3 linked regions of the Caenorhabditis elegans genome follow. The protein of the gene in region 1 interacts with the protein of each later gene in a pairwise test. Each region holds a gene or a part of one and is shown on either strand. Other genes may lie near its edges.

Region 1 (9,523 bases):
ACATGCACAGAATGACAGATTATATAATGGATCTTCGTAACCTGACAATTGCTGTTTTAGCTATTTCTGTCTTTGGACTGATTTGCTTTATGATTTTAAAGATTGTGCACAACAAAAGTTCAAGGCGAAAGCGCCGCTCGATACAACGACAGGTGCCTACTGCAAAAAAATCACGGCGAGATAGGTCGTAATGAAAAATTTATATGTTTCAGATAGAAGAAGGATATCCACCAGCTGCCCCGAGATACTATTACTCTTCGCAGTATGCTCCAGAACCATGGGACCGACCAAAACACACATACAGGTACTGATAAAAATGATAAATGATGAATTGTAAGCTTTTGAGCAAAATTGCAAAACGGCTAAAGTTGAAAATACAGTTAGCTGATAAATTGCCACATTAAAAAAAGGTGACCAAGTATTGCTCGAACACAAACAATTTATTCGTGTTTATTGCATGAGTTGCAAGTTTTATATATCAACTGGTTTGTTATATCAAATTCACAATTTCATGATTCAGTAATTGTTTTGTATCTTAGTTTTAATAGGAATATTCCACATTTTTTAAACTAAAAACGACTAAGGTAACGGAATGATATTTGAGAGAAAGCAACTTGTCCCGTGGGACGTTAAAATATTTGCTATGAATTTGATTTTTTAAATTTCGGAATCATTTTTTATTTTATTCAATTTTATTTATTTATTTACTATTTCTTTGACTTGAAATGTGAGAGATTCTTTCACTTGAAATATAATCATAAAATTAATTCAACAAACGACCAGTGTCTTTCAAAGTTAGGAAAAAATATTGTTTTATATGTATTTACATATAAAATTCTGAATGAATGACATCATGGATCAAATTAGCGTTCACTGTCAAAAGTGAGCACATGAGATGTCGGCCGCTATAGTTTTTTTGCCGTAACTGTGTTCATCTAACCAAACTAAGTTAAAAATAACCAATATTTTCCAGTCCATCCATTGAAGAGAAGAAACAACTGGAATGCAGGAACAGCAGTCCGGAGTTCAAAGGAAACGGTTCTGTCAATTACAAGGTACGATTTCGTTTCTCTTAATGACTATCTTGACCAACTTAATTTATCAGCCATACACGAATGAGTCAACGGAGATGTCACCGGAAAATGAGAAGAAAACGTCATTGAGCAACGATATGTCACATCGGGGAGCTACAACCGCCAGTGTACCAAAGGTAATAATTGACTCGGAGAACTATTTCTGAAGCATTCTCCCTCGTCAGTCAATTTTTGTCAGCTTCGTCTTTTGTACTACCCCTCCGTTGCCTTGTGATAAGTCTTTGACCCTTCTAACTCTTCTTCCCCGGCCGAGAGAACCATTCCAGCTTTTTGATATTATCCCCATTTTTTGTTTCATTCGATTTTTGTTTTGAATGATTTCTTGTATCAGTTGTCAATAGAAATGTTTAATTCCAGAGGTCACTAGATCCAGTCAAGTTAGTGGTCGGTGATCTTCCATATGTTGATTCGTCATGATTTGCTCAAATTTTCAAGTGATCAAGTTTGAAAATTGTTCGAAAAACTCTCATTTTTATGTTCTGTCATTTTGTTTTACCGTTTTTTTTAGTAATATATATAAACTGAAACCCTCAATCCTGATGATGCCAAAATTTGTTTTTGTATTGATTTTTATTGAATAAACGTTGATGTACGTTTTGAAACATTAAACCTTAAATTAATTTTTAATTTTTAAGATTATTCATTCAGTGAAATGTACCAGGTTTATGACTTTCACATTGTTTTAACCAATGGTTTTGAACCACATTTCCCAGAAAACAGTGTCTATTACCAATACTCAGAAATTTTAAAAATACTATAATATTCAGCTCCTTTGACACGTAAATTTTAAGATCGTGTGCCGTATTTCGGGATTTTTGGAAAAATGGGTATCGCCCAATTTTTCGATTGTTGAACGAAAATTAACTGCATGTGATCATTATACATACACGATTTAAAAGAGAGAGAGAGAGAGAGAGAGAGAGAGAGAGAGAGAGATTTTATTTTAAATTTTCATAATTCCATATCAAATTGATTGATGGGTTTTATTGGTTCGAGATGTGCATTCATTGGTGGCAAATTTATACAATTCCTGTCATGATTTATTAAAAGGTATATGGCAAAATGATTTGGCAATTCGATGATCGGATATTAAACACTGATGGGAGGGAAGGGGGGGGGGGGGGGGGTGGCGTGGGGTGAGAGAAAAGTATGAAGAACACCATCAATCATACATTTCGAAATAAGTGTTACACATCCACCATTGATGAAGAATGAATGGTCAAGGTGTCGAGGGATACGTAACAAGTGTTTAGAAGGAGAGGAGTGGGGGCCTCACACGAATATTGACTATGAGATGTATGAAACGAGCGAGCGAGGGGGTATTGGAAGAAGCAAAACGGGCAAGGGACCTATTTATTCAGAAAGTGGTGAAATGTTGAAAACTGCGGTGCATGGGCAAACAGCTGTGATGAAACGAAAAGAGAAATAAAGAGATATACGAAAACAGGGAATAGATAAGGTTTTTGGCAAGAGAGAAAATGTTTCAAGCATGTCTCATGGCTGTTTGGTGAGTAGGGGGTCGTCTATTTTGTGAGGTAGAGTACTTGTAAAGTTATATGATTCCAGGAAACAGTTTCTGCTCAAATATCAAAACATCATCAAAGATTCAAGACCACTAATAAAGATTTTGTAAGATATTCCTCACAATTGTGGCTACATTAATTCAAAAACCATTTCTATATTCTACATATTATACCATTCGTTACTCCAAACCGGAACGTTGTATCAAGTATCAAATTAAAATGTAATCGAAAACTAGAGTTTTTGTTTTTCTCCAGTTCAAATGTACTGTGGAGTCATGTGTGGGATTAACTGAGATTCAGGAGGAGGAAGGTTGTAAACATTAGTCGATAAAGATAATGGGGTTGAGAAGTTGGTTGTTAGAACACTCGGAGTTGTCATGTGCATTGGAGGTGGATCGGTAGATGGGGTTTCGTTTCGGTAGTCTGAAAATGTTAAACTTTTTCAGTTTATATTCATATTCCCTTACATTTATCAGGTGTCTGCTCTCTGGAGTGAAAAAGGTAATTGCTCTCGTTCCCATCGTCCATTGGGTGATCCAGGTATACTGCAAAACAAGAATGAAAAGCTTAGCGATAAGCTTCAAATTTCTCACAGTAATTAGGGCTCTGCCCGTTGATACTCTCGATAGGAGAGTTGCTGTCGCTTTCTGCACGATTTGAGGACTTCCACCGGCGACCAGCGTCCTTCTTCAACCGTTTCTCTTTGGCTCGACGATTTTGAAACCAAACCTGATAAAAAATAAAACATTAGCGAAGCCGCTTGATAAGGCAAGTGCTACCTGAACAACTCTCATGTCAAGTCCAGTTTCTGAAGCGAGTTGTTCTCTGACATGTCGAGCTGGTTTACTGCTAGTTTGGTATGCCTGAAATAATAAATCTAAACATTTGAAATAATACATCTATAGTTATATTGAAGTGTAGAGCAGATTTCCTATTAGTCGTGCACTCAGAACGACGAATTAAAAAGTAGTCTAGTAAGTTCTATTGGCTTTGTACACGTAATGGTCTAATAACTCTGCTCAAATTGTTGAGAACTTTTGTTTAAAACAAGTTATCTTAATTATCACTTGCAACACTTATAATAAAAGTATGGATCGCACCTGAAATTGCTAAACAGACAATTCCGGATGTTTCGATTGTATAGTAATATTATATTTTATATTGTAATGTTTTAAGGAATACGAATTTATAATTGGTAACACTAATATTACAGTAAATTGTTTCTGTTGTGAAATGCTCACTCACTAAAGAATCTGACAAGCGGATTGCACTCAATTCTATTACAAATGGCGCCAGAGTGTTGCGGTTTTATGTGGCTCTTGTCAATCTACGGCGCTGTCTTGCTTTACAAAAATGATTTGCTTTATTTTATGACTTCACCTCATCAATGATAAAAACAGTGGAAAGAGCTCACCTGCTTCAAGGTTTCTAGACTCTTGGCGGAAATCGTAGTCCGTGGTCTCTTGTTACTACCATCGCCTTCTAGTTCATTGCAGTCTGGAAGCGAGACTATTGAGAAAAATCGAGTAGCTCTTTATGGAGGACTGATCACTTACGTTTATCTCTAGCCTGCTCATAATCGTCTTTACACACGAGTCGCGCATCGTCGGCAATCAAATAAAACTCTTCTCCGGTTTCAAGAGATCTGAAAAAATATGCAAGTTTCAGAGCAATAAGTTTAAAGTTTACCGTTTGCAAATAAAACACTGAAAACATTCAACATGGTAGACATGATTCGATGCTTTTCGAACAACATGGTCCGGGACGATGCCTTCATTGCAGGAGGAGCATTTGGTACCGAATTTTCTGAAGTTATGAGTTTTGTAAATGAAAAAAAAGAAGACGAATGCAGTTCAGCTATCAAAACTTACAATGCAAAAATTGAAACATTGCACTTGAAAAAATAACGTTATGGGTGGGTTTGGTAGAAACGAAAACTATTAGTACGAGTAATTTCATGAACAAACTCATTTGCTTCAATGTACAAAATTATATGTATTAAGATTTTATTCAATCGAATAATAAATTCTACAACTATAACTATTTTGACAGATGTATTCTAATTTTCTTTTGTTTTTTATAAATGACATAAATGACAAGTAAATATTTCGGTTCACATATAGATTTCCAAAAAAGAAAACCCATGTTATTTGAAAGTTTTTCGATGTTTTTGTTCACTCTTAAAAACAATTCTTCTATGACTTCTGATATGACTTCTGATGATTTCAAGGTTGAGTATTATAAAAATATTTTGAATACTACTGAATCTGAAACTTTTTCATTAAACTCGATCAAAAACGTTTTGAGAACTTTCCGGAAAAATTCAAAAGTTTTTTTTTCACGGAATGCTTTCCTATTTTTAAGAAATTTAAGACCGTAATAAATAAAATTATCAACCTTATTGGAGCAAGTTTACGGTAACGCACTGAATAATTTTCAGATTAACTTTTTTTTTATTAGAGTGATACTCTGCAACCATATTTTTTGTAGTCATCTATTTTTAAAGAAAAATTTTAATCTGAAGTCAGAGAGCTGTGATATTATATTATAAAAGAAAATTGAACGTTTACTCAAAAAAACCTTTTAAATTTTTATTATTATCATTGAATGTTTGAAATCGTTCTCTAATTTTTTATTCTAAGATTTACCAAAAAGCTATCCCCTAGTTTCCAAGTTGAATTTAAATTCTATTCTTCTGGTTGAAAATGTTTTCGCACCAAATATTAAAAAAAAAAAAAACATAAGCTTTCAAAGACAATGTTTTGTTATCATACACTTCTCCGTTCTATTTCAAAATATGTGAGTAAGAAAGCTAAAAAGCCGCACTACGCATTTCTGTGATACCAAAAAAAGCTAAAACTACCATCTTACTTGTAAAAGTGTGCCCGGCAATACATAGAATCTTCGCGCAGGAAACATGTCGCACCAAGCTCGTCTTTACACGTAGAACATCGGAGGCATGATGAATGATAACATCTGAAAAGAATGAAACTTTGTCGAGAAAAAAATACTAGAGAAGAACAGTGAACCCACCTTCCGTTGACCTTTGAAACGAACCGATCTCTTATTTTCTTGTCACAAAGCGAACAAATGGCTTCTTCGTTATTCGGATGGCCTGCATTAACTGTAATAAATAATTCAACTTGTTTCATATAGCGGCGTGTCGGCTAGATACCCATTCTTGACACATATTCTTGACACATGCTTTATGCTTGACATTCTCCTTGTCTTGTCCATTTTCCCTTGCTACACACTAAACCTTATATATTCTGTCATAATATTGTTGACTCCTACTGTTTTTACTTAATTTGTGGCTAAACAGGTTGGAGGAACAAGAGAGAAAACAGGAGGAGGGATATAACGAACCTAACGGTAATTCAATGCTCATCGCCAGAAGCTTGCAGGTGTGCGTCCTCCCCATAAACTGCTAAAGGTACGGATGATGCGCGGAGGTGTGACCAACCATTAAAATATCAAATTTCCAGAAGAATGATGGTCCAGTATTAGCAAAAATATTATGCTATTTTTGTTGCTCAGAGACACAGAAAATACGAACACGAGGCCCGAAACGAGGTATCCGAGAACGCGCGAAAAGGTGTGATAGGTTTCGAAAAACGTTTCCAGTGTGTAATATTGAGTCACAATAGGCAAAAGGATGGTCAACTAAAAAAACGCGAGGAGAAGAAAGTGATAAGCGACAAAGGCCACTGCCGTTGGCTACTGTTATTGTAATATGAAGTATGAGAGAAAAATGGTGTAGTTGTCGGTAATGTTCAAAAGGACAGGAAGCGAAATGACAAGGATGGACTTTTTTCTTTTCTTTTTGTCGTATGACTTAAGAATATGGGGAATACGTTTTTGCTTATGATTCTGAAGTATGAAATGTTTTCACGAAATGGTGTTGAACTAATTTTCTAGATGTTTACTAAAAAGTCCCTTGTCCCGGTTTTAAGGGGTTTGTGATTAAAAAAACAAATTTGCAGCTCAACAGCTGGCATTCTCTGAAAAAATCAATTCTTCACACTATGCATTTTGATAAATACGAGCAATATATGGTACTTGTTTATTAGCTGTTACCCAATATGTTTTCAGTGTATAAAATTCTATGATGTCAACACGTAAATAACCATGATTGCTCCTGCGTCTAAAATACAAAAAGAAAACATTTTTAATTTTTGGAAAAATTGAAAACATTTCGGGGTACAGATACAAAAAATACCTATTTATTTTAATCGAGTATATCCGAAGAATATGTTTCCAAACCTACCATTACTAAAGTCTTCCTGCGGAGAAAGAAGCCCGGTGCTGCACATCACGATATGATTGTCCAGCTCATCGCACTCGCCAAGAGTCAAAATGTTGTGTCCCAGCATGTTTGTTGAAAAAGGCCTCTGAAAATAAACATAGCGAGTCGAATTCGGGATAGACGATTCTGACGATTTAGTTGAGGTGAATATTTAAGCGAAACCAAAGATATAATGTAATTTATTTTCTCTTTATTTTTGTTTATTATATGAAAACAAAAAAGAAAAAGAAAGAAAAAATTTGATTAGCTAAAAGTCTAATTTCAGAAAAAAAAAGTATTCATGAAAAAAAAACCGCACGCTAGCTTGAATAGCTAATGAACTTTTATAAAAAGCCTAGTCAAATGTTTCAGACTCATGATCAAACTCGTATGGAAAGTTAAGAAAAAATGTCGTTAGTCGGTTCTTGAGACTACGTGTATGTTATGCTCCACGAGCCATGAATGTCCCGAAAATAAAGTCCCGCCCATTTCTTGTCTCACGCCAATGAGCGGGTAAGAAGCCATGCTCTCTTGTGCATTTCTTAGCTCTGGGATACGATACATCTCCCGAAACAATGGATTCAAACCTAAAGTTCACTAATTGAATGTTGCTCAAATGACTTATCACATCTAAGCAAATGTTTTACAGAAACGGCCGCGAAAATAAGAAGATTGTTTTTATCATCGATAAATTCAGAAATCCTCTCAAATCCGCTCGTTCCTCGTGATTTTCGGAGCAATAGCATCTTTCCAAAAAACTTTGTTTATATTCTACTTTCAAAATGATTGAAAAAGTGCAAAATTTGAAAAAAGAAAGAAACATTTCAACTTAATTGATGTCAAAAGCAATTAAGAGAGGGTGTCCTAGTTTCATTAATATTGCGTGCTTTTTGAAATGAAATGAGAAAATGAAATGATCAGTTAGGTCAAGAAAAAATTAAATTGCGGCATGAACATGTTTTTGTGGATTATTGCATTATTAGAAACTATTGAACTTTTCATGAATGGGTTCCTTTTAAATGGTAAAAAAAATACTTTAATGAATAGAAAATTACAGTTGCTCATTTTAAATGAAAACAATTGTTGAATTTTCAGGAGTAGAGTTTCAGAATGAAATATCATCTTGGAAACAATAGAATTAACAGAAATTCAACTTGAGGAGCCTAACAGTAGTAAACATTGATCTTAAAATACAAAACAGTCGAAACTATGAATAAGTAAAATATAAACTATTTAGTAAAGTAACCCGATGATTGAATTTCATGGAAGTTTTAAAAATACAAAAATAGCTTCAAAATGTCTATTCAAAAATTATCGTCAAATATACGTATTACCGTATTAGTATTGTTTCTATTAAGCTTAAATCTTTACTGCTCTTATGTGGCAACTCATATCTTGAGTTTTGGATTCTATTCAAATTTGTTAAACTATTGGAATATCAAAAGCACACATATTTGGCACTTGTTCCGACTGAAAATGTTCCGACAAAGCAACAACTTTGAGCTTTCAATGTTCAACAATTGTGGTACAAGACTACTAGAAAAAGTTCTTATAAATTATTTTACTTAATAAATAACAAAAATAAACATGAAACAATGTAAGTTGGTAATGTTCCGGTTGATCATTTTTATAGCAATTTCTGTGTGAGTTTCTTTTTCACTACTTCTATCATTACAATAATATGTGATAGTATATTGCTTGTATTTGTCTAGACTAAATTATTATAGGTTCACGATCTGCAGACTGCTTTAGTACTTCTTTTTTGGAAATGTATGGTGCCTATCCCAAGCTTTAAGCCAACCTAAGAAAACATTGATAATTTGTCTGCTTAACAAAAGATCAGAAGTTTACGAAATAGTTAATTAAAAGTAATATAAACCAATGCTGCTCTCAAAAGCAGACAAGACAACGTGCGAGAGCACATCCATTATCCGGCTTGCAGGCCAGGATAGAAGCGCTTCAAAATTAGGTAATAGCTGGGTCTCGGCTCTCGTCCCGAAAAGCTGCCACCAGTCTTGATATAATGACGTCGTCGTGCTGCTGCTCTCTGCCTTCGTCCATCAACGCGCCAATATGGTGCGCGTATACGGACAATGATCGGTAATGGTTGAGGGGAGGGGAGGCATGGATGTATTTTAGAAGGGCAGCTGACAACATGTTCGCAACAAATTCTGCTCGTCATAAAATTGGTGCTAAAATGTATCAATTAAGTTATGGAGAGTGACTGGGCAGCCGGAAGGAGAATCAATTCGTGAGGAGACAGGAAAGTGAGGGAAAACTGTTGGTCTTGTTGTAAAACTTAAGTTTTTTCTGATTCATTCTTTTTCTTCATGGTTCATGACTGAACCATTTAGCATAAAGATGTGAGCATTTGATTTCCGCATTGTAAAATATTTTGTAAACCGATTGACCGTGCCCGGCACCCAATGTGTTGAATCAGTTTGTTTTCAATCGGCATCAGCTAGCATGAACAGTTTAACAGTTACAAATATAAAAATTTCTTAGTGTAAAAAGTCAAAAAATATTTTGCGATACAGTTTTCATCAAATGATTTAAAAATTCCCAATTTTAATTTTTACTTAAAAATGTAAAAATGTGGAGGAAATGATTAAAGATTTCCT
Region 2 (6,542 bases), on another chromosome or scaffold:
ATTTATTCACACATATCTTATTGAATCCTTCTCTTTCGCGAAACATTCTGGAAATCACCATTCCATTGAGAGTTATGTCTCCAAGGCTTAACTGAAAAGTTATTCATAAAAATAAGTTTTTAAGTAATCTTATCTATTGAGAACAGAGGTGGGCGAATATTTTTTCGGATATTTTCTAATAATGAATTTATCAATAAGTATTGATGCAGTTATTCTGGAAGAAATGTATCCGAACCAAAGAGTAACTATTAAGCAACATTTTAATATGATAAAACCTAGAAAAATTCTACAAGTTTTCCTTACCGAGACCTTAAAACTTATTAGCCGAGCAACATCGGATATCGGATATTACGGATATTACGGATATCGGATAATGGACTTGCATATCGTTTATACAGAAAACTTGTAGAATTTTTCTAGGTTTTATCATATTAAAATGTTGCTTAATAGTTACTCTTTTGTTCGGATACATTTCTTCCAGAATAATTGCATCAATACTTATTGATAAATTCATTATTAGAAAATATCCGAAAAAATATCCGCCCACCTCTGATTGAGAACTTCTTGGAGAAATTTTAATTCGTGTGTCATAATAGATAAAGAACGTTTTCTCGTTTTGCAATACTTACCAGCACCATAATCGTTGCTGCAATATACCGGAATTCTATCATGATCGACTATAGCCTGCCACTGAAAATTATAGAAATGAGAAATAATGATCTGAAAAATGCATATTTCGGTCTAACGTTGGTTCTCACAATTATCTTTTTCAATGAAATTTATTATTTTTTAGGAAGTTATGCGAGACGGCTGAAATTTTTCACAGAAAGATCAGTTCATTCTGCTGATACATGAAAATCGAATTCTCTGTGAAGGTGGGAGGTATAAAAGTATAGCAAAAAAAAAGTTGTACCTAGTTGGTCTTCAAGCATCGCCGAACTCAATGTTATTTATCTAAAATATTTTGGAATTTATCTGTGCTTTGAGTAGCTAAATGGGAGAGTCAAACTAATATTGACCTAGATACGTGAAAATTTAAATTATGAATTGAGCTTTTTGAAGTTCGTTTTTTTTCAGAAAAAAGATGTACGTGTCAATAGAGATATTGAAAGGTTTCGAGAACTTTTACTTGATTTTCTCTTGCTTTTCTGTTGAACAGTTTGAAACATAGTTAAAAGAAAACCGGAAACTATCGAATTCAACCTTCTACTACTTCTGGAAAAGTGGCTCTAGGGCCACCAGAAATACGATTTTATGGAAAAGTGGCTCTAGGGCCACCAGAAATACGATTTTATAGAAAAATAACATAAAATCTTGAGCGTTAGACAACGTTAGTTGAATTGTCAAACTGCAGTGACAATTAAATTCCATTCATTACGCTTTATTGAATACGTGGAAAAACAATACAAAATAACAAATCATTGTTTTGAGAAAATTAGGATTTTTTGGAAAATTGGGCGTTAGGGTTTTTCTGGAAATAAAGCAGTAATCAGTTTCATTTCACGACAAAACACAACATGTTTACAGAAAACTTGACAGAAGTAATCAAAATTCACCACTAATTCACCATTGTGTTTAACTTCATTTAACCTTTAACCCTTTTTGCTTAATTGGCAGTCCACGCAGGGCAAAAAAAAAGAGAAGACGGGCAGACAGTTTCACTAAAATAATATCTCCTGGAAAAATTATTATTAACTATCACAGATAACTTTATCTCACAGTCTTTTACAGCAATATCAACAATAATAAAAACGAGATCACAATTTTGGAAAAAATGATGTTTGATTAGAAAATAAAATATACATCCTCAGAATTAAAGGCTAGTTATCATTGACATCTGCATGGCATCTGACCGCAACGACATACAAGTCTCAGGGGTAAAGCCATTGAAACTACGGACCATTGATTGCAAGCACGAGTCATTGGAACTAGAAATTGTTTGGTAGGATCCATTTGAGGTCCATTGAGTGGAACTTGAAGTGAGAGTTGGGGAGGATGCTGAGGAGGCGGTGTAACCTTAAAAATTATAGTTATTTTCTATATTGTAGAAGTTGATCTTACTTTCTCCACGGGTGGGGATACCGTTGTTTTCTGTGAGACAGAACTTGTTTTGGCAGGGAGCTCCACTTGTGGTACGAGCACTGGTGGGGCTGGAATCGGAGTAGATGGCTTCGATGATTTTTGAACCATTGCAGGATTTGGTGACATCATTGCTGGTGTAGGGATGACTGATGGAGTACCTGCTAGTACTTGTGGAGTACTCATCAGATGGAAAAATGGATTAGGTTGTTGGCGGATAACACCTTTCTCCTTCAATAAGACAAATGGATGACGTAAGTAATCATGAAGTACTTCATCAGTGACACTTCCGTTGTGAGCGGATGATATGTAGGAAAGAAGTTTCCTCTGTTTGTCTTGTAAATCATTCATCATTACTTCCGCTGATTGTGCAAACTGTTTCGATGGAATTGTATTTGGAACATGTGGAATACGGGGCTGTGCAGTTACACTTGGAGCAGCTTTTTCTTTTTGTTCCTTTTCTGTTTTTTTCGTGGATTCTTTTTGCTGTGGAGTCGATGCAAGTGCAGCGACCGGTTTATTTGATGCGTCTAAAGACGGAGTAGGAGCTGGAGACTTTTTTATCGGTTGCTCTTGTGATTGAATTTCCATTGGTACTGGAGCAAGTGAAGCCGGTGCAACTTTTAAAGGCCCCGTAACCAGAGTTGGAGGTGGAGGAATAACTGGAACTTGAAATGAAGAAGGTGCTATTGAAGTTGGATGACTGTGAGCTTGATTTAAAGTTATCAGCTTTGACATGTTCAGAAGCATTTGCTGATCTTCTTGAATGCATCGTTTTATTTGTTGGTGGTCCAATGGTTTATGTTCAGTTGGACATGGTGATCCTGTTGATGTCTTTTCAGAAACTACTGGTTTGCTTATGAGTGACTCGATTCGTTGATGGTATTGCTGAAAATATCTCAATAAAGTCATCTCCAAGAAAAAATCTAAAATATTGTATCCAGCAGTTAGTTTTTTGAATATTTTATCGAGATTACAAGTTTCGGCAGTTAACTACGTTATACTGTATTCAGTACTTTTTCAACATGTTTCCAAATCTTGGCACTACGCCAGAAACTGATAAGAAAACCGCTGACACTGCAATGTTGCATATGCAACGTGGCTCTTTCGAAACATTGTGCAGAGCATGATATCTGTGTGTGCTTTGATCATATTCATAATCACTGAAAATCGATCATAATCAAACAGTTTCACGGACACTTTTTGTGAATTCCGTGAAATTCTAGCAAGGTGTCACTCCGTGCGAAAGAATATTTTAATGCAAGAAATTGTTTGATAATGTCATATCATGTGATAAGAAATAAAATATTTCCGGAACTTACTTTCAATCGCTGAAGTCTAGAGATCATTTCATCAAGGAACGAAATGCGTTGCGAAGGTTCCGTGCAATTCAACGCGTTTAATAGATTTAGAAAAAGGACATCCATAAAACTGGCAGGTGGCTCTGAAATTAGAAATTCAATTTTCGAAAATCAACTCAAACAACAAACCTAGAGTTGGTGGAGCTGAAATTTTCATAGCGGGCACATCCACGCTGGCGGAAAGTAGCCTTTTGCGAGTGGCTAAATCCATTTTTGAACCACTGAAATTAAAAATGTTGAAATTTAAGAATGTGAAAAATTGCGCACAAAATATGAAAGAAAAAATAAGTATGACTAGATTCAAAATGAGGTGGAACCGGAAAACCTTATGATTGTGTCCATAAAATGCTGGTATATACAAAAATTTAAGGCAGTCTCTGGGTATGATTGACTGATTTGGAAACTGATAAGACTATATCAGTTGTTGTAGACCGTTGTCAACTGATTGTAGATAGCCTCAGGGCTCTAAAAATCTTGACTAGTGATAAGAAAAATTGGCGTTGCTGTCAACATCAAAATCATGTTCTTATCACAGCGAAACTCTGGTGCAGAGTGTAAATGGAACAGAATCGAACCGAGCAACACAATGTGACAGAAACTGTGTTTGTTTGCAGTAAAAAGTGAAAATTTTCAAACTGGAGAGTTACCTCTTATTTCTGCGCCATGGTGTAAATTTAAATAATATATCATAAATTGAAAACATGAGACATAATTTAAAAGTCTTAAAATAAAAAAGTTTTTCCTCCAGACATATAAGTGAGGGATTTCAAGCTGTTCAAAATATTTCCTTTTACTTTGTTGAAGATGAAACAAAAAAAAATCATTTTTCGTGCAGAAATTATTTAAATTTTACAGATTTTTTCGAAAAGCCAGTACACAACGGTTTAAAACGAAATACCATGTTGTTATCAAGTTAACCTTTCAGTTCTCAAACGATGACATTAATATTCTTTCCGCGTCAAAAGTTTTCTGGGTGATTAAAAAAGAGACAGAAAAAAGTGAACATGCTCAGCGATAAGCTGATTGAAATTTTGTTGAGGTTACGATATTGTCTTGTGTCTTGTGAAAAGTTTGCTAAAAACTTTTGTATCCTGATGTATGAAAAAAGTGAGAAAAATTTTAAGTTAGTCAACAATTTCAACTTCATTCATAGGCACAACTGAGAATTTAATTAACTTGTATTCCACAATTGCTGGATGTGTGAGCATTCAAACATTTTTGATTTGAAAATAATGCGATTGAAATAAAAAAGAATTGAACGAATTAACATATGAAATTATTCCGCACGCGATATGTATTCATAAATTCTAGAATTTTTATTGTTCTGTTCAAATCATTTCCACTTTCAAAATGTATTGAATCTGTCGTTGATACTCTATTCTCTTATCACCAAAAACTTGTTCATCTTTATGACTATCACTTGACTCTTCAGGTAAACATTGAATGTATTGAATACTTTGAATGCTCTTATCAAATTGTTTTCATCATCCTGAACCAAAATAATTCCTTACCGACGCCACCTACCTGATTGTTCCACAAATTATTATAAAACAAAGAGAAAGTTTTTCAAGAGGAGCACTAAAAAGTCAAACTCGTTCTATAAAAAAAGTAAGAAAAAATAATTTAAATTGTGTTGTTTGTGTAGGTTTGGTTAGTGTATGTGTGTGAAGCTGTAGGTTTGGTTAGTGTATGTGTGCAATTGAGATGAACCGACGACGATCGGCCGATAAAAAATGTATGAGGTCGGGCCAGGGGAATTGATACATAAAATATGAGCTAGTGCGCATTTAGAATGAATCGAATTTCATTCAGCTCTTGTTTTTTTGTGAGCTGCTCAAAAATTATTAGCAGTAGGTGAGATGATGTTGGTACTTCTGTTTGGGCCGTTAATATATAATGGAATCGTCCATTTGTTGTGATGAATGTTGTCGGATTGGGAAACAATATTAAAATAGCGTGGAATAAATACACTGAATTTCCAGGAACTAATACTCCAATATTTGTAGGAGGAATACAGATCGACGATTGATTAATTTTGATTGAATTTGGTAGAATAACACTTTACAAATAAATATTACTATTATGGTGCATATTATATATTTGGATAAAATCTGAAAATTACAGAAACGTTCAGCCGGCGTCATTGATATGTCAACGTTCCAGTGGCAAAAACATACAACATTCATTGCGATTAATCACTTGAATTGAATTATCCAGAAATGACTGTCTGTAACCGATCCGTGAAAGTCATTCAACTGTTTTTTTGCAAATGTAGCGTCCTTGTCATGCCAACGTATAATGTGCAATATTCTTTAGATTTGTTTTCCGTTTAAATTGACTCAATTTATTCAGCAAAGCACTTTAAAACAATAAGTTGTAACCTCTGTTCATGATTACGATCTAAAAAACTCCATTAAAACGTTTTCTGAATTCTCCCAAAATACCATCATGGTTTCACTGGGTTCAACGATAACTTATCGAATGCAAAACCTAGCGGTGCACAGCTTTCAACAGTTTTCGGCAACCGGCAATCTCCTTACTTGATTTCCAATAATTTCTAAATCAACCAATAAAGAAATGGTAGAAAAAGAGTTTGAAATATTTTGCTAATTGACAGTTTTTCTAACAAACAAAAACTAAGATACGTGTTGTCAAAGCTAACAAATAAGTTGTAATACTATTCGAGGAAATACAGCATATAGATTTTAATAATTTGTGGCAAAAATTTCACATTAAAAAAAATGTCTCTCACAATCAAACTATTCAGAGTTTTTCAGTAATTAATTTCAAGTAAAGTCTTCAAAGGTTTGAGCAATTGCCAAAACTTTCAGAAACCAACAGTTACCTGAATTGCCGAGTGTCCAAAATGCTGGATTTCATCACTCCCCAGCCATTCCCTCCCTTTGTTTCAAACAACACCAACAACACTTGCTAGTTGTAGTTGAAAGTGTACGTTATCTTTCTCCATGAGACAAACAAAATAAATATGAGGAAGAAAGAACCACTTTTCAAGTTCATGTCGTTTTTTATTGAATATTTGATTTCTGTAAGTTTATTATCCCTACAATAATTTGACAAACGAACAGTCGCAATGGAGACATC
Region 3 (6,928 bases), on another chromosome or scaffold:
CAACCTGCAACACTGGCAAATGCGACGATACATTCCTAATTGATTTACGTTTAGCTAACAAATCACATAACAAAAAATGTGGAACTTTCTCAAAAAGAGAAGAAAATGAAATCTATTTAATGGTTAAGGGAAAAAATTTCACGTCGCAACTCATTTTATCGATTTTGAAAATTTTGAAACTTTGAAACGGTGTTGAAACTAGCCACGCTATATTGTGCATTTTGAGCAAAAACAAATACATATTTGCGGAATGTAGTATAAAACCCAGAGATATGTAGTTATCAGTGCATACCGGCTACAGAAAAACTTTTAAAAAATGCTGCAGTGGTCAGTTTACATTCGGATTTGTTTGTGTACGATTAGAACCTAAATGCTATTGAAAAATGGAATTGGCATATGGTATATTGAAATCGAAGAAATCGAACAAGAATAAAAGAATACAATGGACAGTAATACTGTAGGGACATCAATTGTAAATAAAATAAAATAATGATTGTCTATGTTTGTTCATCTGTTCCATTGAGCAAATTTTCAATGAATCTAAATTTTACTCTGGTTTTAGAAATTGTATGGCTCAAAATATGTATTTTGTGTGTGTTCCGGAGTACAGCTTATCACTTTATCGAAAAACGTATGTTTTGATAAGGAAAGGGCGTTTCAATAAATTTGAAGAAAAAAGGGCGTTGCAACAAGTGACATGAATAAAACAAACATATTCGTAGAGTCGTATCAATAATCAGCATCATTTCGATCTTACGTACGTGGAGTAACAAGGAACTGGAATTTTTTGCATGCCGGAGGAATAGGAAGATAAAAATGAAAGACTAGAAACATAGTCTGCTTGTCTGGTATTCCAAAGATCCCCTACCGTACCTAACTGTACTAAACTTACAGCACGGTTACCAAATCCATACAGTCCCGTAATACCACAGTATCTCAAATTATTATGTTTTTTTTAACTTTTAAACAGAATATGTATTGTATTTTGTATGTATTTTGAAAACTTGTTCAGACAAGTTCATCAAACATGTTAATAGCAATTTGAATTGATTTCATAACTCTGACAGCGTCGTCTGAAAATGTTTCTCAATACTATTTAATTTTTCTACCCCCATACTCTATTGTTTTAATTTTCCTAGATAAATTAACAATGCTCCAAATTCGTCAAGTTTTTTTTTCCTGAAATGGTCAAATTTTGACAGCAATGACAATGTTCAATGTGAGCACCTATCAGCACATCAACGAAACAACCCACAAAATAATGACAAAATTGCTATGAAAAATAATAATTTGATGAAAACTGACTTTGCGAAATTTGAGAATTTAGCTGAAACAGAGTTTAACATTAAAAAAAACAGAGCTCAGGATATTGGTAGAGGCTCATGACTAAATTTGGTATTTTTGGGTCGCTTTAAGTGAAAATGGACATCGATTTTTTGTTGGAATTAAAGAGCTAAGAAATGAGCTTTCTCAGATTTCAGTTACCATGGATATTTGGCAGAGGATTTATTTAGTTATTTGTTTATTCTGGATAAGAAATCCGTTTACGTCTTTTGTAAATGTATTTTTCAAAAAAAATTTTTTTTGAAAGAGTACCAAAAATTCTGGAACACACATTATTCAACTTTCTATACTGTTTTTTTACTTTCTTGACTTTCTCTGATCAGTTTCAGTTATTTCCTGGAAGAAACGTAGAATACAGCATTTAAATTTATATCAAGTATGTATTATTATTATATTACAATTATGTATATTCAACGTAAGCACTGAGAATTATGGAGATGGAGACACAGAAGGAACACAACGGATCGGATGATTTTGATTTGTTTGTTTAATATTTGTTTTGGAAATAAAAAGCAAAAAATCCCGCAAACAGGAAGAAATAAGTTAAAAAATATAGTTCTGAGATTGGTAAAAAATATTGCGAAAATTATGAGAAATCTCCAAAAATGAAACAATATTAACATGATAGTAAAGCTTGCGAAGTTTGAGGTTTCAGAGAAATTTGGAAAAAAGATAATTCTAAAAAGGACGTGTCAAAATTGTGTTATTTATGAGAATTCGAAGAAATGAATTCATTTCCGAGGCGTCGTGAGCTTTGTCATTTTGAAGAAATTTCACGGCAAGATTCTGAAAAAATAATTTTGAAATACTTCTTTCTGATCTGAAATCTTACCTGACACTCTAACAATTTCCTTTGGAATAGCTCATTGTGCTCACGGAGCGCGTGTGCTTCCATTCTCAATCTGAGCACAGTTTGTTCCAATCCATTCATTTGGGCATTTGCTTCTAAACTTTCTTGTTGCATCGTACCAATTTTGTGTTCCAACAGTTTGCATTTATTTTCAGAAATCAATATCTTTGTCCTGCTGACGTGGCAGTCGAAGCATTCATGACGTGGACTGATCCTTGAAGAAGAAGATGATGAGGATGGTGAAGCTGTATCAATCAATGGAGATGATATAAGAGCACGATCAGAACACAACTGATGGAATGCACTAAGATCAGACTTGAAGCTGACTGATGAGCAAGTTGGTGACTGTGAAGTATACACATCGGGCTTCTCCACTTCATCTTTTATTTTTTCTTTTGAATCTGCTACAAATATTGGTGCCGTAGCTGAAATATTATCATAAGCATTACAAATATTTTGTATGTAACTTACTAGGTATGGGTTTTGGAAGATTTGCAAGCCATGAAGGTGTCTGAGGTTGAGATCGAATAGGCGATTGAAGAGCAGGGATTGGGATGCTTGCAATTGGAAGAGAAGGTACTGATGATTCAAGGGATTGTGGGGTTGGTAGATTTAGAAGTGGAGTACGGATTACTGAAATCAATAATCTTTTTATGTTCATCTCATATCTGATAGTCTTACACTGGAATGGATCTGTAATGAGGTGGCAGCTTCTGTTGATAACTCCATGAGGAATGACACTATTATTATTGTTGTTGCTGTCATTGTTGTTAGTGGCAGTTTGTAGATGAATATGAAGAAGTGATTTATCAGGAAAAGCCCAATTACAGCAACGGCACATGTACATTCGAGAGATATGATGTTGCTTGAACATATGAGTACGAAGAGATTCACTACCTGCAAATTACAATAGTTTTTTATTATTATTCAAAGTCCCCAATTCAAATACAGTACTCCTATAAAGTTTGTCTACTTATCCCAAAGCCATTATTTGACCCCTTACAATTTCGCTCCAATCCTCCACTTTTTTCCCTTCTGCCCCCACTCTCATCCATTGCGCAACCTCATTCAATTGTCCCCGTTCTCGAAAAGTGAGAACTGTGTTTGCGTCTGCGTCTCCACTATTTCGTATTTCTCCGGATGACCTCAATCGTCCGGAGAATGAAGAAACAGTGAAAATTGAATGAGATCAAGAGGAATCTTTCTCCGGAGAGTGGATGGATAGTAAACAATAATTGTTCATACAGATGCTTATACCCGAACAACAATAAAAACGAGTTTCTTGCGGTGTTTCATGTGATAAACAATTCAGGTGTAAACAATATGCTTGTTCAAATATTATAGGTGGATGCTTTAAAATATAGCAGTGGTTTTGCACTGCACAATTTTGCTCTGCAAAATGTTCTACAGTATCCCTGCTAAACCCGGGAAATGAGGAGATCAAATCAAAAGATGTACTGGAGCTTAATACATTTTTGTAGCAAAAGCTCTCTGAGTCCCTGATCGAACAAGTTTTCATTCTATTTCATATTTTTGTCTCCAGCAGCTTTTCAGCTCAAATGTGCAGCTCATTCTTGTATCAAATGTCATGATTATCTTTCTTTCAATTTCGAAAAATCTGTGATTGAGGATTTTTCTTAATGCTCGGAAGATCACCTCATTGTCAATAAAAAATAAATAACTTCCGACTTACTTGAGATATCTTTTCGGCATACTGTGCATTTGTAGCTTTTGAAGTGAGCCTGCATACGGTGGCGGGAGAGACTTGAAGAATGACAGAAAACTTTTGAACAGATTGAGCAACGGAACGAACCTGAAATTCAGAATCATTATAAAAGTAAGAACCTAATCAGATTTGGTGGACTAATAACAATTCCCAGAACTTACAAACCTTTTAAATCGGGTCGTTTTAACTCAACACCACTTCCACCTTTGGATCCACTGATATCAGTTCCATTCTCAACCTCCACGTCACTACCGTAACCTTCCTCCTCTGTATTTGTGGGTGAATGAATTTTATCGTCTTCCAGCTTCATATCCATTTCAAGATGCATGATTTTGAGCTGAATCATGAAACATGAAGACACATGAAACAATACAAAGGCAGATAAAATGAGGAAGTAAAAAATCTGAAAATCGAATGAAAGAAAAGATGTGTGAGCTCATAGCATTTTGAGCACATAGGCACTTTTCAATGTGTGCAGGCAAAAGGCCATTATGATGACGGAGGAGGAAGAAGAAAGATGCAAAAAGTAATAAAAAAAGCTTAACTACAGGCATCCAGATCAATGACGCTGACGGTAAGAATGATCCATTCTCTTTTTAGTGTATGTCATGTAATCCCAAATCCAGATCATTTTACAAGAATGACTTGAATTTCTAAAATAGAATGTGCTGCAAGGATACGGTAGATTAACTCAGATAACGAATGAATCATTGCATTCAATGTTTTGGAGCAGCAGGAGCACGGGAATTTTATGAGAACGTGTGTGTGAGAAGCTTCAAATTTTAAAAGTAAATCGGAGGAGCTTGAAATCAGCAATCGTAGTATTATCTTTCAACATTATTGCCTGGTTTCGCGTACCTAATATATTTACAGAATTTTTGGGGCAACAGTTTCCAAGAATAACTTGTTTGGAGGCTTTTCCAAACTGTGACTCTTTGCTCCATTATTTAGAAGACGTTTTTTAATTTTGAACTCTTTCGTAGAAAAAAGAAGAACTTAGTGTGAACGTTGAGTAGCCAATAAATGGCAATTTGTCAGTATTCACTTATTTTAGGAGACTCTAAAAAGACAATCTCTGGAGTTTTTAGAAAACTCTAAAAAATGCTGGTCATGTTGGACTATTATTAGTGTATTCAAGTTTTGACATAGTCTCTTGTTTTGAAATTTATGAAATGGTTAAAACAGCTAGATTTAAAAATTTCATCAGCCATTGTTTGATCATCTGGGCAAATCTTAAAGCATAATCTTCTAATCTTTTTTGAGAGACCTGTTTTTAAAATCCAAAGAAAATCCTTCGAAGAAAGTTTATGGTTTGTACTTCAAAATCGTCGGACAAGTTGTTTCTAAGAAAGTGAAGCAAAAAAGGTTTAATGATGGATTTTGCATAAGAAAACTAAGTAGGTTTAAAGTTTAATCGCGGGGGAGTGTTTGCAAAAAAGGCACATCTTTAGGGACTTTTTTCTAGATTTAACAAATGAAAAAGCCGTGCAAATTTCAGTTTACTTGGTTCCCATATCCCAAAAAGAGACCATAAACATTAGATTAAAACTAGGCACTTGTAATAAGCCTAATGACGTGGCACCGAAATGTTGCAACCCGTGACTATGAACTATACAAGGTCAAACTGTCAATACACCTATCCTTTCCGCTAATTATCCATCGTCACCAAGACGGCTAAGACGGAAAAAAGATGAAGACGGACGGCAATGGATTGAAGGGAATAAGACGAAAGTGTCAATACGCAAAGACTAGGTCAAACCGGAGAAGATGAGAAAGTATAGAAGAATAAGAGATACAGACTAGAGGAATGACGTAAGGTTTCCAGGAGAAGCTAGGTGAGATGAAGTGGAAGTAAAGAATTTGGAAAAAAAATGTGCTAGAATTGGGGAGAAAATCTCAATAAATTGTAAGCATGTGAAGGCAGTGGGGAATGGGTTCTGAATTATTTCGAACACATAAGCTCCGGCAGTTGGGTTGCTACTTGTTAAAATACATCCTTAAAATTAGCAGAAGGAAACATTTCCATTTCAGAGTGATAGAAGTTCACAAACTACTAATTTGGAACTTTCCTTTTTCTGGAAAAAAGTTGACACCTCTGAAATGACACCATATTCACTAGTGTTCCTGAAAAGTTTTCCGTATTAGTTTTCATTAACAGCAAAAAAAAGTTGGCCCGAATGAAAAAAAATAGGCGGATACTCGGATGGTATATCCTGCCCATCGACAAGATGATCCTTGCTTCAATTGGTTTTAAGCCGCTTCCCAGATTTGATGAGCGAATTTGGCGATGAGCCGTGACGACGCGTACAGCCTCATTTGTGCAGGATCGAAAAAGCATCAGTTTTCGAGATAAGGCAAGACATGTGGAAAAAATGTTTTCTGACGCAATTGAGTTAAAAAGGGCGGGGCTATGGCTATGTGTACCGAAGTGTTGAGTACGTCAAATTTTTTGAAGTAAGTTCCTTTAGAATTTTAGATAAAGTTGAAGTTTGGTGGGAAGATCTGATAATAGTTTCTTTTTATACCACAATGTAATCAATATAAAAACATACATCGTTTTCCTATTTTACCTGGTTCAGTAGTCTGGAAGTTCCATGCCGCCATATTAAAGCTTAATAATTATAACTACTAATTTCGATATTAACTAGCAATGCCACAAATGGTAGTTTCATTTGAAATAGGAAAAAATAGAAAATTTTCAACTGGGTCATCTTTTTCCCAATTTTTTTAAAAACCAAAAATTGTCTTTTTTAAATTAAAAACCAGTTAAAATGGTTCAGCTGAAAATTCGCTCGCAAATTTTCGGCTTCAATTAGTTTATTTTTTCTCATTTTGTAAGTATATTGCAAACTGGGGACACAAAGAAAAATTTGATGTAAACCCCTTGTGCCTGTCACACAAAAATAAGACTAAATGTCTAAATATAAATATTGGTACTTTCCTTGTATTTCCTGAGACTTAAGATCTTTGAGGAAGATCGCAAAATTTCGAAATTCACTCTGTAGGAT

Evidence for each region. Proteins that work in one complex are often made in the same cells at the same time.
Region 2: the proteins of ceh-14 (region 1) and B0507.3 interact in a two-hybrid assay, tested with the Caenorhabditis elegans proteins (one large-scale study listed by BioGRID).
Region 3: the proteins of ceh-14 (region 1) and ztf-30 interact in a two-hybrid assay, tested with the Caenorhabditis elegans proteins (one large-scale study listed by BioGRID).

What each region holds. Positions count from the first base shown.
Region 1 is NC_003284.9:7,525,743-7,535,265, forward strand, and holds ceh-14 (LIM/homeobox protein ceh-14), read right to left. Parts: upstream 6,991-9,523; coding exon 6,885-6,990; intron 6,120-6,884; exon of another isoform or gene 5,971-6,119; intron 5,742-5,970; coding exon 5,651-5,741; intron 5,594-5,650; coding exon 5,489-5,593; intron 4,424-5,488; coding exon 4,307-4,423; intron 4,263-4,306; coding exon 4,174-4,262; intron 4,115-4,173; coding exon 4,032-4,114; intron 3,481-4,031; coding exon 3,397-3,480; intron 3,347-3,396; coding exon 3,211-3,346; intron 3,163-3,210; coding exon 3,085-3,162; intron 3,041-3,084; coding exon 2,874-3,040; 3' UTR 2,027-2,873; downstream 1-2,026. Other genes in the region: F46C8.3 (US6), read left to right, coding at 1-152, 213-304, 974-1,055, 1,106-1,210, 1,452-1,511. UniProt on the Caenorhabditis elegans protein: Probable transcription factor, modulating expression of helix-loop-helix protein mbr-1 and homeobox protein ceh-63, perhaps acting in concert with ceh-63. Binds to a motif including the sequence 5'-CTAAT-3' in regulatory promoter elements.
Region 2 is NC_003283.11:8,766,028-8,772,569, reverse strand, and holds B0507.3 (Mediator of RNA polymerase II transcription subunit 15), read right to left. Parts: upstream 3,662-6,542; 5' UTR 3,652-3,661; coding exon 3,570-3,651; intron 3,524-3,569; coding exon 3,402-3,523; intron 2,968-3,401; coding exon 2,062-2,967; intron 2,017-2,061; coding exon 1,828-2,016; 3' UTR 1,697-1,827; downstream 1-1,696. Other genes in the region: srx-115 (7TM GPCR serpentine receptor class x (Srx) domain-containing protein), read right to left, coding at 1-91, 630-671; B0507.9 (Protein containing ALS2cr12 (ALS2CR12) signature), read left to right, coding at 6,532-6,542.
Region 3 is NC_003281.10:8,593,614-8,600,541, forward strand, and holds ztf-30 (Zinc finger transcription factor family protein 30), read right to left. Parts: upstream 4,258-6,928; 5' UTR 4,231-4,257; coding exon 4,086-4,230; intron 4,008-4,085; coding exon 3,888-4,007; intron 3,092-3,887; coding exon 2,876-3,091; intron 2,828-2,875; coding exon 2,666-2,827; intron 2,620-2,665; coding exon 2,177-2,619; intron 2,131-2,176; coding exon 2,023-2,130; 3' UTR 1,697-2,022; downstream 1-1,696.